2 linked regions of the Callithrix jacchus genome follow. The protein of the gene in region 2 interacts with the protein of the main gene of each other region in a pairwise test. Links are inferred from orthologs where the notes say so. Each region holds a gene or a part of one and is shown on either strand. Other genes may lie near its edges.

Region 1 (5,683 bases), on a different chromosome or scaffold from region 2:
CTTCATCTTAGAGGATGTTAAGGGACTCTGAGCTATGAGGGCTATTAGAGCCGCTGACAGGACTGTCAGTTGGGGTTATATCAGACAGGGAAACCCTGGCGCCTCTATCCTAGGCCTCCTGGGCTTCCTAGGGGAGGGAGGAGGGGCCTTCCCTAAGCGCCCAGGGCCCCCAGACCTGACGGCCACCAGAGGCAAGTCACTTCCTAATTGTCTCGATTTGTAAGAGGGTTTTGTAATGCTAAGTAAGCGTGGCTCAGCCAGCCCGGCCTCCCCCTACACCTCCCTCAGACCGCCTTTGTTTACCTTCGCCTGATCGCTCATTTATTTATCTATCTATTATTTATAGGCGTCCTCTCCTATTCAGCGCCTGTGTATGTTAATTGTGTTATACCATTTAATTCTAACATCGGTCTCAAAAGAGCTCTTAATGAGAAAAGCATATACAACATGGATCACTTTGCTATTCAGCTTAGCCAGATGGACAACTGCTAACTTTTTTTTTTTTTTAATAATGAAAATCCCCCTTTGACAAAGGGGCTCGGATGAATAGGCTCCAAACAACACCTCAAACACGTCTAATTGTTTTGAGGACAATATGCTAATCCGCGGGTTTCGGCTTTGGTGTCTGTTGACAACGTTTCCCTTGCACCTCCAGCCACCGACTCCTTTGGAAACAGCAGAGGCAAGCGCGCAAATCTCTTAACAGCAGCAGAAAGCCGACAAACCTCGAGGCTGCCCCACCTCCCACCCCGCAGCATATCAAAAGCAGTGGGAAAAGTACGCAAATTAAGGAAAACCACGCGTGAGCGTGACTCTAGGGGTGAGACTCCCAGACCAAGGGTGGGAAGCACCCTTCGATTTTGAGAACACATTCCAAAGAGTTTTGCTGGATGACATCGGAGGGTCCTTTCTCCGCAGGAAAGACAATAATCTTCAAGAAAACATTCACCCGGAGGGGAAGAAAAGGGCTCTTTTCCTTGTTTAACATCATGGGCTGCACTGTTTTTTTTTTCCTTACGATTTTTAAAAACTCCTTGCCTTAGCAAGTGACAACGTCGCTTTCCTTTTCCCTCTTCTCCTGCAGGGTCTCAGTAAAAAGTGTTCGACAGTCTGGGGCGGGGACCTATGGCACATTTTCTGCATTTCTTAGAGTTTTAGTTTTTAAGTTAGGAACCCAGTATCAAGCCCCGAATCCCCAGAGGGGTGGGCAGCAGCGTTTCCAAACACCTAAAAAAGACAAAATACCCGATTTCCCCAGTCTTTTCCCATGCTTTGAACTTAAACATCCACTACGGGACGCGGAGTTCAGCGCGCAACTGGTTCCCAGGAGACTCGGTGCTTCTCCCCACTCCTTCAGCGTTTGGTTTCTAAAAAAGTAAACTCACCCAGATCTCTGCAGTCTGGGTCCATCTTTGTCTTAGTTCATTCACTCCTTGAAGTGGCCTGACCTTTCCGGGAAGAACGGGCAGGGAGAGTGAAGTCCCAGGGACAGATATCTTTGTCTAGTCTCTAAAGGCAAAAAGCAATTTCCAGGACGCATTCCAGACAGATCCCAGACTCTAGGCCCTTCTACACCACACCGGCAGACCACCAAGCTGGACCAACGGCGGTTGAGGGGGCAGCCACCAGCCATCACTGCTTAGAGTCCCTCTTTGCACTTTCAGCCTCCCCGAACCCGACTTTCCAGCCCCTCCAACCTGGCTCCTGACTTCAGATTTTAGGCACATCAAAGGTTACTTTTTTGCAATGACAGATTGTCTTTATTCAAAACGTCTTTGTTCAACAAATGAACAGAGTAACGAGGTAAAATCCTTCTAGGTACATTTCCAAGACATTGTCAAAACATTTATGACCATTTAGGATCTTTTAATTCTTTTAACTTTTTGTTCACCTTCTACTTCCTGACTTCATAACCCGACATTCTGTCTAAAAGTAAACTTAGGTCTCTAGAAGCACTGCTTTACACAAAGTAAATAACCATGTAGGTCCTTTTTGTTTTCCCTTTAAAGAAGCAAACAGTATCATAGCATGGTTTTAAATAGAAATGTTTCCCTTTCTGTAGTTTAAAACTTTGAAGCCTTTTCCCTCCCACATGTGAAGAGCAAATGGCTCCTAGTTGTGTCTGATGCCAAAACACAGAGACACAGCTAACTCTTTTCTTCAGGGGACAAAAGGAAAAAAATATATGCATATTCTAGATATAATATCAGGATCTGAAAGTTCAGAGTCCAAAGCCTATTCGAGGAGAGTGAAGGGGACATAAATAAAGCAAAACTGCCTACTTTTTTGTCCAAAGGGGGTACAGTCGGAGATTTGTTTTGAGAGAGTCGGGATAGGGGTAGCTGTGTAGCTGTCACAACGTTTGCAAGTTTCTGGCACCTGTCTGCGCCTTGGGTCCAGGAGGACGCCCCTCCCTTCCCCCTGGAAGAGAGAGGAAAAGTCTGGGGTGGTGTCAGGGACAGCGGCAGGGCTGACCCCCGGAGGCGTCTGCAGGCCAGGGCTAGGCTCAGAGGACAGGGTGCAGACCCGGCTTTCAAGCCACCCTTCAGGTCCGGGCCGGGCTGGGGGTTACATGGCCGTGGCGTGGGCTGACGAATAAGGGTCTATGCCAGTCTTGGTCATGCCTGGGAAGAGGATGTAGGCGACGGGGGGCTGCAGGGTGGAGGCAGACCAGGCGGTACAGTTACAGGGCACCACGTAGCCGGGGTTGGTGGGGGACGGGTGGGTGTGCGTGTGCTGGCTGGGGCAGCTGAGGCTGCCGAAGGCGCCGTTCTGGTAGCCCAGGGTGGACGCGTAGGGCAGCGCGCTGGTGGCCAAGGTGTGGGGCACTTCACCCATCTTCTGGATGGCGCTCGAGCTAAACTGCGCGGGGTCCAGCAGGGAGTAGGGCGCCGAGGCCGGCGGCAAGAAGGCCCGGGCTTTCTCGGGCGCGCTCAGGAGGCCGTCGGAAGCCCCCACGGGCAGGCCTGCCGCCTTGAGCGGGTCCGTATCGCCCAGGTAGGGCAGGGGGAAGACATACCTGTCCTTCTTGAGCAGGTTCTTGGGCTTGCGCCGCGGCCGGTACTTGTAGTCAGGGTGCTCCTTCATGTGCTGGGCGCGTAGCCGCTTGGCTTCGTCGATGTATGGCCGCTTCTCTGCCTCGGACAGAAGCTTCCATTCGGCGCCTAGGCGTTTGCTGATCTCTGAGTTGTGCATCTTGGGGTTTTCCTGGGCCATCTTGCGCCGCTGGCCCCGGGACCATACCATGAAGGCGTTCATGGGCCGCTTGATGTGATCTGAAGGTTTGGACATGGTCCCGGCGACTAGGCGGGTGGGGGTAGGGAGTGCAAGGGTTGTGCAGACGAACCTGGGCGCGGTTGGCTGTCTGTCTGTCTGTCCGTCCAGAGCCGGGGTTCTGAGCTCCCCTCGCCTTGGCGCCGCTGAGGGGAAGCCAGAGAGAAGAACTGACCCCAGAAAGTTCAGCTGATCATGCCAGTCCCAGCACCCAGGCAGCCCCCGGGGAGCTAGTGGGAGCGGAAAGGGCGGGGGAGGAGAGGGCGATCGGCCAGGGGGCTGCAGGCACCAGGGGCTGGGGCCCAAGTATCGGAGTCTCGGGAATTAAGTGGCCAGGTAATTTTTTGGCCAGGGCAAGAAGCTCCTCCTTCTCCCCCTCTCCACCTTTGCCTTCTCTCGTTCCCTTCTCTCCTCTTGCTTTTCCAGTCGTAGCTCCCCCCTCCCGTGGCTTTCCTGGAGCTGCCGCGCCTAGCGCTGCACCTGGCTGAGAATGCGGGGAGGCTGGTGAACGACAGCCAAAAGCGGCGAAGTTCAAAGGCGAGGTGGGCCGGGACGGCACGCACTCTGACATAAGCGCGGGGCGGCGACTCCCCAACCTGGGCGCCAATCAGCAGCAGAGAAGCCGAGGGGGCGCACCTGCCAACACGCCGGTGCAAGAAAGAGGGAGCGCGACTGGTGGGGGCGGGGAGAGGTGTGAGGGACAGAGGCAGAGAGAGGGCGAGAGCAGAGCGGCTAGCTCAGGATTGGGGACTTGGGTTCCTCATTATCTCCGGTACTGTCAACAAATAAAACTCTTCGCGCCTCCCGTTTCGTTTCTGGTGGTGAAAGAGAATTAGGGCTTGGAATACAAAGGCTCGGGGAAGGGACAGCAAAGGGAGCTAGGCGAGACCTTGTGTTGATAAATAGGACAGCCTTGCCAAGAAATGCAAGGGCAGCACTTTCCCCCTTGTCAAAGATCCTTGGAAGAGAAAAAGAACATAGCAAGCTCAGGGTAAAAGCGAAATAAACTTTTCGCGCCCCACCCTCGGCAGTCCTTTGGCAGTGTTCTCCCGGGACGCCCCTGCACCTCGGCATCCATCTCTGCCCCAAGATGCGGCGCTTGGGCGTAGATACTGGCATCCTGGGTGGCTGAGCAGTGTTTTCTGACCTGCTGCCGGAAGGCCTCGCGTCCGGCAATGCAGATTTCGAACCTTGGTTGGTGAGCCCTTAAAAGCACTAAGACCTGTTCTTCACTTTGGGGGCGGGGGTGGGGCTGAGATTTCTATCACAGTTCTCATTTATGTTATTATTTGTGCCTTTAAACCTCCAACTTTCACTCCGCAAATGTTCAAACCGTAAGAACAGCCTGGAGGCTGGGTGTGAGGGTCTTCTGGGTGCCCCTTCTGCAGCGGCCCTAGAGAGGAGTCTCATGGTGTCTCTGCAACAAGGGTCCATTTGTCCCTGGGCGCCTCTTCCCGCTGCGAGACTCGTTTCTTGCGTCAGATGAGCATTCTTCGGGTAAAGAGGACGAAATAACCCGCAGAGCCAACCTGCGCGCCTGTTTCCTTTGAATAATTGCCTGCCCGATGTGAAATGCCCTTGGGGGAAATATTTATTAAATGGAAACCATTGTCCCAGGACTGGCGGGACCTGCGTGTGTTCCAGGCTTATTGGCTTTTGCACCAGCCTCTCTTGGGAAGACCGGCCAGAAATGCGCAAGGCTCCGTTAGCTCCGAGGGGCTAAGAGTGGGGGAGGGTGACAGGGAATGAGGAGACCTGAAGGGAGGGTCTTTCTCTAGCATATAGTATATCAAGTGTGAGGAGAAGACTTTGCTTCTCCTTCCTACAATTAGAAAAATGCGTGGAATTTCTCACCCTTGGTGCACTTTTCAGAGGTGGGCAATATTGCCATTTTACAGATTAGGAAACTTAGGTTGAGAAAGACAGGTGATTTGTCAAAAGTGACTCCGGAGTCATGCCAGATGTATGGGATTTGAAAATCCCGATTTTTACCCCCATTCCACCTGGCGTCACATCTAGGGATTTTATGGGGCTGCAGCTCAATGTGGAACACTTGATGAAACTATTAGGGCAATCGAGGGTGATCGACACCTGCCATGCAGATAAACCACCCTGGAAGGCTGATCCTGCACTTGATTGCTTAGCCACGGGCTCCACCTCCGAGGGCTGGCAAACAGGTGCACAGCCTTTACATTCCTTCCCAACCCCAGCTCTGGCCTTTCTCCAGAGCCTCTATCCAGCCCTCTAACCTTGTTTTCTCTACGGGCAGTTTCATTTAGCTTAGGGTCTCAGGAAGCAAACGCACTTTTCAGTCCAGTCTGGCAAGGGTTTCCAAGCGTCGCTGGCAACTCCAACTCAGGTCTGACCAGCGGTGCGCTATGCTCAGAGCCAGTCAGGGATAGGAGGTTCA
Region 2 (6,023 bases):
GCTCTGTAGGTAGCGGCGGAAATCTTTAATCATGGGCCGGAGGACCTGAATGAGGACGCTCAGGGCGGCTTGTGTGCCCTCCATGGCCTGGGCCTGGCGCTCCTGGGCACAGGCCTGCACTTCCTGGGAGCGGCGGATCATCTGCAGCAGGTCGTTCTGCTGCTCCAGGTGCTGCGCGATCTCCTTCACATGCAGGTTGGTTACTCGCTGCTCCTGTATCAGCTTGGCGGAGTTGAGGGCAATGCGGCTCTTGAGCGCCTGCGGCTTGACTGCCGTGTCTGCATGCTGGGCCATCATCTCCACGGGAGCCTCTGGCGGCAGCGGCGGAGGCGCCTCAGTTGTGCAGTACTCCACCACGCCCTCCTCCAGGGTGTGATAGGTGGTCTCTGTGGGGACTGCAGGGTAGAAAGAAGAGGCTGAGGAAGGTCACTTTCTAGAAGGAATGAAGCTGGCTGTATAGGGTGGAGAGAAGGCCAGAAAGTCCTGTCCTGGAGCGACATTAAAGGAAAATCCAGGCCTCCCCTGGCTGCATAGCTATTCACATATAAATCTTGAATCTAAGGGGTTCAGAATCTTAATGTACTTGGCAATCAAAGGGCCAGCCCTGGATCTGGCAAAAGTGAAGATGTTGATCATAATACTAGCAAAACTTTCAGAGCAACTACAACATGTCAGGCACTTTGTACTCATTAGCTCAACAAATCCTCAAAATGACAGCAAGAGGTAGGTGCTGTCATTTTCATTTTCCAGAGATGAGGAAACAGACTGAGAAATGTAGACTGACTTGCTAAGGTCACAGAGCTCATTCGGCAGAGCCAAAAGGCAAACCCAGGTCTCCCAAACAGCTGAGCCCTGATCTCCATGCGGGGCTGCTCCTAGCTAAGGCACCTCGGAGGCTGGGTCACATGCTCCCTGTGGTGCCAGTGCAGTAGGCATCTTGGGTGGGACTCTACACATGCTCTTTGCCACTACATTAGTCCTACCTCCTTTCATGCTTGCTTTTTATTTATTTATTTTTGAGATGGATTTTTGCTCTTTTGCTATGTTGCCTAGGATGGAGCGCAGTGGCATGATCTCAGCTCACTGCAACCTCCACCTCCTAGGTTCAAGTGATTCTTGTGCCTCAGCCTCCTGAGTATCTGGGACTACAGGTACCCCGCCTCCAAGCCCGGGGAATTTTTATACTTTTAGTAGAGACAAGGTTTTACCATATTGGCTAGGCTGGTCTTGAACTCCTGACCTCAAGTGATCTGCCCACCTCGGCCTCCCATAGTGCTGGGATTACAGGCGTAAAACACCACGCCCAGCCCTTTGATGTTTTCTTGACTTGACTTCCTAGTCCCCTGTGGCCAAGCAGAAAAGGAGGTGGGAATGGGGTGGTGGCAGCTAAAGTGCCCAATCAATGTTTCCCTCTCTCTTTCATCATCTGGGTCAATGCAATACTCAAACATCCTTCCTGATCCAGAGTAGCATCTGATTTAAACCCGTGTTTGTCCCTCTTACCCACCCCAACATATTCTTGAGAAATACGCATTACAGGGGGATGGCACTCACACATCCACCCAGCTCCCTCAACCCCTACTAAGAATCACTGATGGATCCAGCTCACAGCCATTACAAACAAGCAGAGTTAACAGTCACAGGCACAAACCCTTCTCTGAACTAAAAAAATCCAACCAAAGTTAGTTCTGTTGTTATTTCTAGCTGAGAACCTTGAAAAGGATCCTAGCTGGGCTGTTTGGGCCTCCACGCATGTAGAAGAGGTCAAGCTCCTACACCCTTCAATGCCAATGTCAGCTACGTATCCCCATGCCACCAAGAAGCCCCCTTTCTCTTTTGGAACCTTAGGTTTTCCTAACTGATGGTGAAGCTATTCCTATATATGCCATCTCTGTCCTACTAGAACATAACTGGCCTGTTATTTTAGACAACATGGTAATCCCAATGCCCAGTACAGGGTTTGGTACAGAATAAGTGCTAATGTTTGATGAATGAATGAATCAATGAATGAGTAGATTAACAACAGGAACCATGAGGCTCCCGAGCAGCACCTGATCAAAGTTCCCTGGCACTGAAAACACAATCCAGAATTGTTGTCTCACTTGGGCAGCATTATTCCCATCTATTTTTTCAACAAATACGGCCTGGCTGTCTACTACATGCCTGGCCCTGCAAAAAGTCCTGTGGGGATACAGACATGGTCTCTGTCTTCAAGGACCACCCAGTTTGGCAACTGGAGGTAAGTCATGGAAACATGGTGACAATGCTCAATGGCGAGCTATCCAGCACATCAGAAGTCCAGGCCACATGCTGAGGAAGTCCCTGAGAGAGCAAGATCACTTCTTTTTTTTTTTTTTTTAAGATGGGGCTTCACCATGATGGCCAGGCTTGTCTTGAACTCTTGACCTCAGGTGATCCACCCACATCAGCCTCCCAAAGTGTTAGGATTACAGGTGTGAGCCACTGCGCCCAGCCTGCAAGATCACTTCTGTCTGGGGTGCTGCTCTTGGAAGGCCTCACGGTCTTCCAAGACCCCCATCTGACCTCTGACCCTTGGCAGCCAACCTTCCCCAGGCCACCCCAGAGCTTGCTGGCCCTTCCCACTTATGCACGCCGCCTGAACAGGAGAGGTCACTCACTCTGTGTCAGGGTGACCGTGGCGGTGGCTGCGGTGGCCGAGGGTCCGAGGGCCACGGGGTGGATCTCTGTGGTGCTAGGCAGGCTGATGATGGTGGCCTCACCCAGCAGGTTGCAGATACGTTGTTGCATGGGGGTCAGCAGCACGGGGGCTACAGCTGGGCCACCGCCGCCACTGCCACCGCCTGTCCCAGGCCCCCCAGCTCCGTCCTCCTCAGTGGGCCCCGGGGCCTCGCCACCCTCCACAGCAGCCCGGACCTGGGCAACCTTACGACGGACCTCGGTCTTGAGGTCAGACCACTTCTTCTTGACCTCAGGCAGCTCCCTGCGGCAGGTGGCCACGGCGTTGACCCTTCTCAGGATGCCGTGCCAGGCCGCGCTCTTGGCAGCCAGGGGTACCCCGGCGTTGAAGTGGTTCACCAGCAGGTGCTTCTTCAGCTCCAGCTCCTCCACGATGATCTCCACCTCCCGCTCCGAGAAGTTCATCTTCCTCTTCTTGGCTGGGACTGCCATGGCCTGTCCCCTCCCCTCTGTTTAAAGAAATTATAATCCCCTCAAGCGCCCCAATTCCCCTACTCTTCTTCCTCAGCCTCGCCCCTCACCCACCCCCTATAGGGGGATAGGCCGGGCTTGCTCGAGGCCAAGCACTAGGCCTTAGGTAACCCTCCTCGCTACGCAAAGTGCGTAGGGCCCAGCCCCAACCGGCCCGGCCGCTGCCAGCCAGCTGCGTAATGGCTTCCTGAATCTGCCTCTTCCGCCGGGGTGTGCGGAGATCCGCCCACTTCCCCTCTTCCCGCCTCCCAGCCCTTCTGCGGGAGAACCCGCCCTCCCGGTGGGGCGCGGCTCAAATATCACATCGATCACTGGTTCTTTCTGTCTGTCGCTCAGCTAAAGAGCACGCCTACTTACTGGAATTAGCCTGATCTTTGGTCTAAAATTGTGTCTGTCGTCCAGAGCGCCCCGCCCACCTAAGCTTAATTCACTTTCATTGGGAAATCATTCTGTCGTTCAATTATCAGTATTATGACTATTAAGCCGTTAAACTCAGCTATTTTATTGATGGTTTACGGAGTTAGATTACCAAAACCCTGCTTCCTGAGGATACTTAGTGCTTTCGGCCGTGAGCTGTGAGTCAATTAATTTTTAATTCCTCTCACCGGCACAAACTCCGCCTCGCAACTGCAGTTCATAAATGCTCTCACACAAATCCTATTTCCCACCGGAGGCTACGATCTCTCCGTACACGACCGCTCCTCCCATCTTTAAGATCCCATAGTCTAAACAGAGTTCATCAATGGAAACTGGACACGGGGTCTTCCGCCTAATCATATGACTTCTGCCTATCGCTGCGTAATTTTTCCTCAATTTTTTTTCTCTCTCTCTCTCTCTCTCTCTCTCTCCTTTCTCTCCTCTCTCTCTCTCTCTCTCTCTCTCTCTCTCTCTCACTCTCTCGTCTCTCGCTCAGCCAATCACCGCCTCCATCAGTTTGAATCGGCCCCAGGCGGAACGGGATGACCCCGCCCACCCCATTAATCCGGGTAGTTCGGGGCGCTGTGGGCTGTTCTTAGTCGGCTCCGCCCCTCCAGGGTCTCCGTCCGAGCCTGTGATTGGCCTCGAGGATTCTGGGGGCGTGGCCTGTGAGGCAGCGCGCGGGAGGGGCGGGGCTCCCGGAAGCCTCCCCTCCCTCCAGCTTGCCGGCGTTTCCGAGCCCGCGCTTGCACTTCCAGAGTGGTGCCCGGCGTGCCTTCCGCGCCGTCCCCGCCGGCCCGCCGCCCCCGCCCGCGTTCAGAGCCCCTGCCTCGCACCCGATGGTGAGCAGTGTGTTGTGCCGCTGTGTGGCCTCCCCGCCGCCGGACGCCGCCGCCGCCGCCTCCTCGTCCGCCTCGTCGCCGGCGTCGGTGGGGGACCCCTGCGGCGGCGCCGTCTGTGGGGGCCCGGACCACCGGCTGCGCCTGTGGAGCCTCTTTCAGACGCTCGACGTCAACAGGGACGGCGGTCTGTGTGTCAACGACCTGGCGGTGGGGCTGCGGCGCCTGGGACTGCACCGCACCGAGGGCGAACTCCAGGTAGGCTGCGCGCGCCCTCGGCACTGCCGGGAAGGGAGCCCCCAGAGCGCTGGGTCACAGGTGCGGCCGGGCCGCTGGTGACAGATCTCGGGGGACGGCCCCTTGGGCTGGGTGGGACCCCCACTGTCCAGAGGAAGGGTGCCCCTGACAGAAGGACACCCCACTTATGCCCTGGTGGGAGTGGGGCTCCTTCCTGACCTGTTTGGGTTCTTGGGCCGGGCTCTTTGTGGACACAGGTGGGCACCCTCTGGGCCTTCTGATGGGCGAAAAGCCCTTTCTTGCCCGGGCTTTCCCCAGAGCAGAAGGCCAGGTCTCAGGAATGTGCCTTTGTCACCTCCTGACCTCAAGACCAAGCTCGACACTCCCTTCACCCATGGATGATGGGTTCATCCATCAGTCCTCAGCAGCACCTCCTCCTTTCCCTCTCGTTTCCATGCCGGCCTTAGGCCCCGATCTAGTTCCTCTCAGGAGCATGTGGGAGTTGAAAAAAATTGGTATTGGGGTTTCAGGCAGATCCGTGTGGACGTGGGCGGCGGAGACTGACAGTTCTCATGGTTTAGGCTCATCTCCATTGCCCTGTTTATCCAAAAAATGGGATCGTGATCCCTGCGGGTTGGAGTGATGATAGAGTGAAGGAATCTGGGGGAATTTTTTTTTCTAAAAGTCAAAGCGGGGGAAAATGTAAGAGGCGAGATTGTCACTGTTGTGGGCTCTTGGCCAAGGTAGGGGCAGAGGGGCACAGAGAAATGGTCATCCCTGGGCCTGCAAGGAAGTGAAGTACTGGCCTTTCTGTATAAAAAGCTCAGAGCAGAGGCTATTTCTTTTCCTTCTGTCTCTTCCACTTCAGTCCGACTTGGCAGGTGTAGCTGCCATTTTCCCAAGTATTTCATCTACTGTAGCTTAGCCTGATTTACAACCTGGAACCTGGAATAGGACTCCTGAGTACTTTACCTAAGAACCTGTTTCTTTGCTGAGTTAGTTTGGTCCATTTGTACACACAACAATTAGAGAATCTCATAGCCAGGTATGCAAAGAATCTGGTAAACCGCCAGTGAATTAAACCCATTTGTTGGGTGGGTGTACATAAAGTGTTGTTAACTCATGTTCAAGATCTCTTGAGTCAACATCCAAGATATTTAACCTATTAGGATCAGCCTAAGAAGACCAAGATTAATGCTATGCAAGAGAGAATCAGTGAGCTAGGTCCAGGACATTTAGTTAAGGCCTTTAGCGTTAGTTACTTTGTTTGTTTGTTTGTTTGTTTGTTTTGAGATGGAGTCTGGCTCTGTCCCCCAGGCTGGAGTATGGTGGTGCAATCTC

The links. The genes of interacting proteins can lie anywhere in the genome.
Region 1: the proteins of NAIF1 (region 2) and SOX14 interact in binary tests that used the Homo sapiens proteins (3 or more experiments, as listed by UniProt). The two-hybrid records come from large-scale screens. The link is inferred for Callithrix jacchus from reciprocal best matches to the Homo sapiens genes NAIF1 and SOX14.

The regions. Positions count from the first base shown.
Region 1 is NC_133518.1:46,540,739-46,546,421, forward strand, and holds SOX14 (transcription factor SOX-14), read right to left. Parts: upstream 3,768-5,683; 5' UTR 3,292-3,767; coding exon 2,569-3,291; 3' UTR 1,738-2,568; downstream 1-1,737. UniProt on the Homo sapiens protein: Acts as a negative regulator of transcription.
Region 2 is NC_133502.1:176,681,471-176,687,493, forward strand, and holds the start of NAIF1 (nuclear apoptosis-inducing factor 1), read right to left. Parts: upstream 3,394-6,023; 5' UTR 3,151-3,393; coding exon 2,640-3,150; intron 396-2,639; coding exon 1-395. Other genes in the region: mitochondrial adenyl nucleotide antiporter SLC25A25, read left to right, coding at 4,446-4,703. UniProt on the Homo sapiens protein: Induces apoptosis.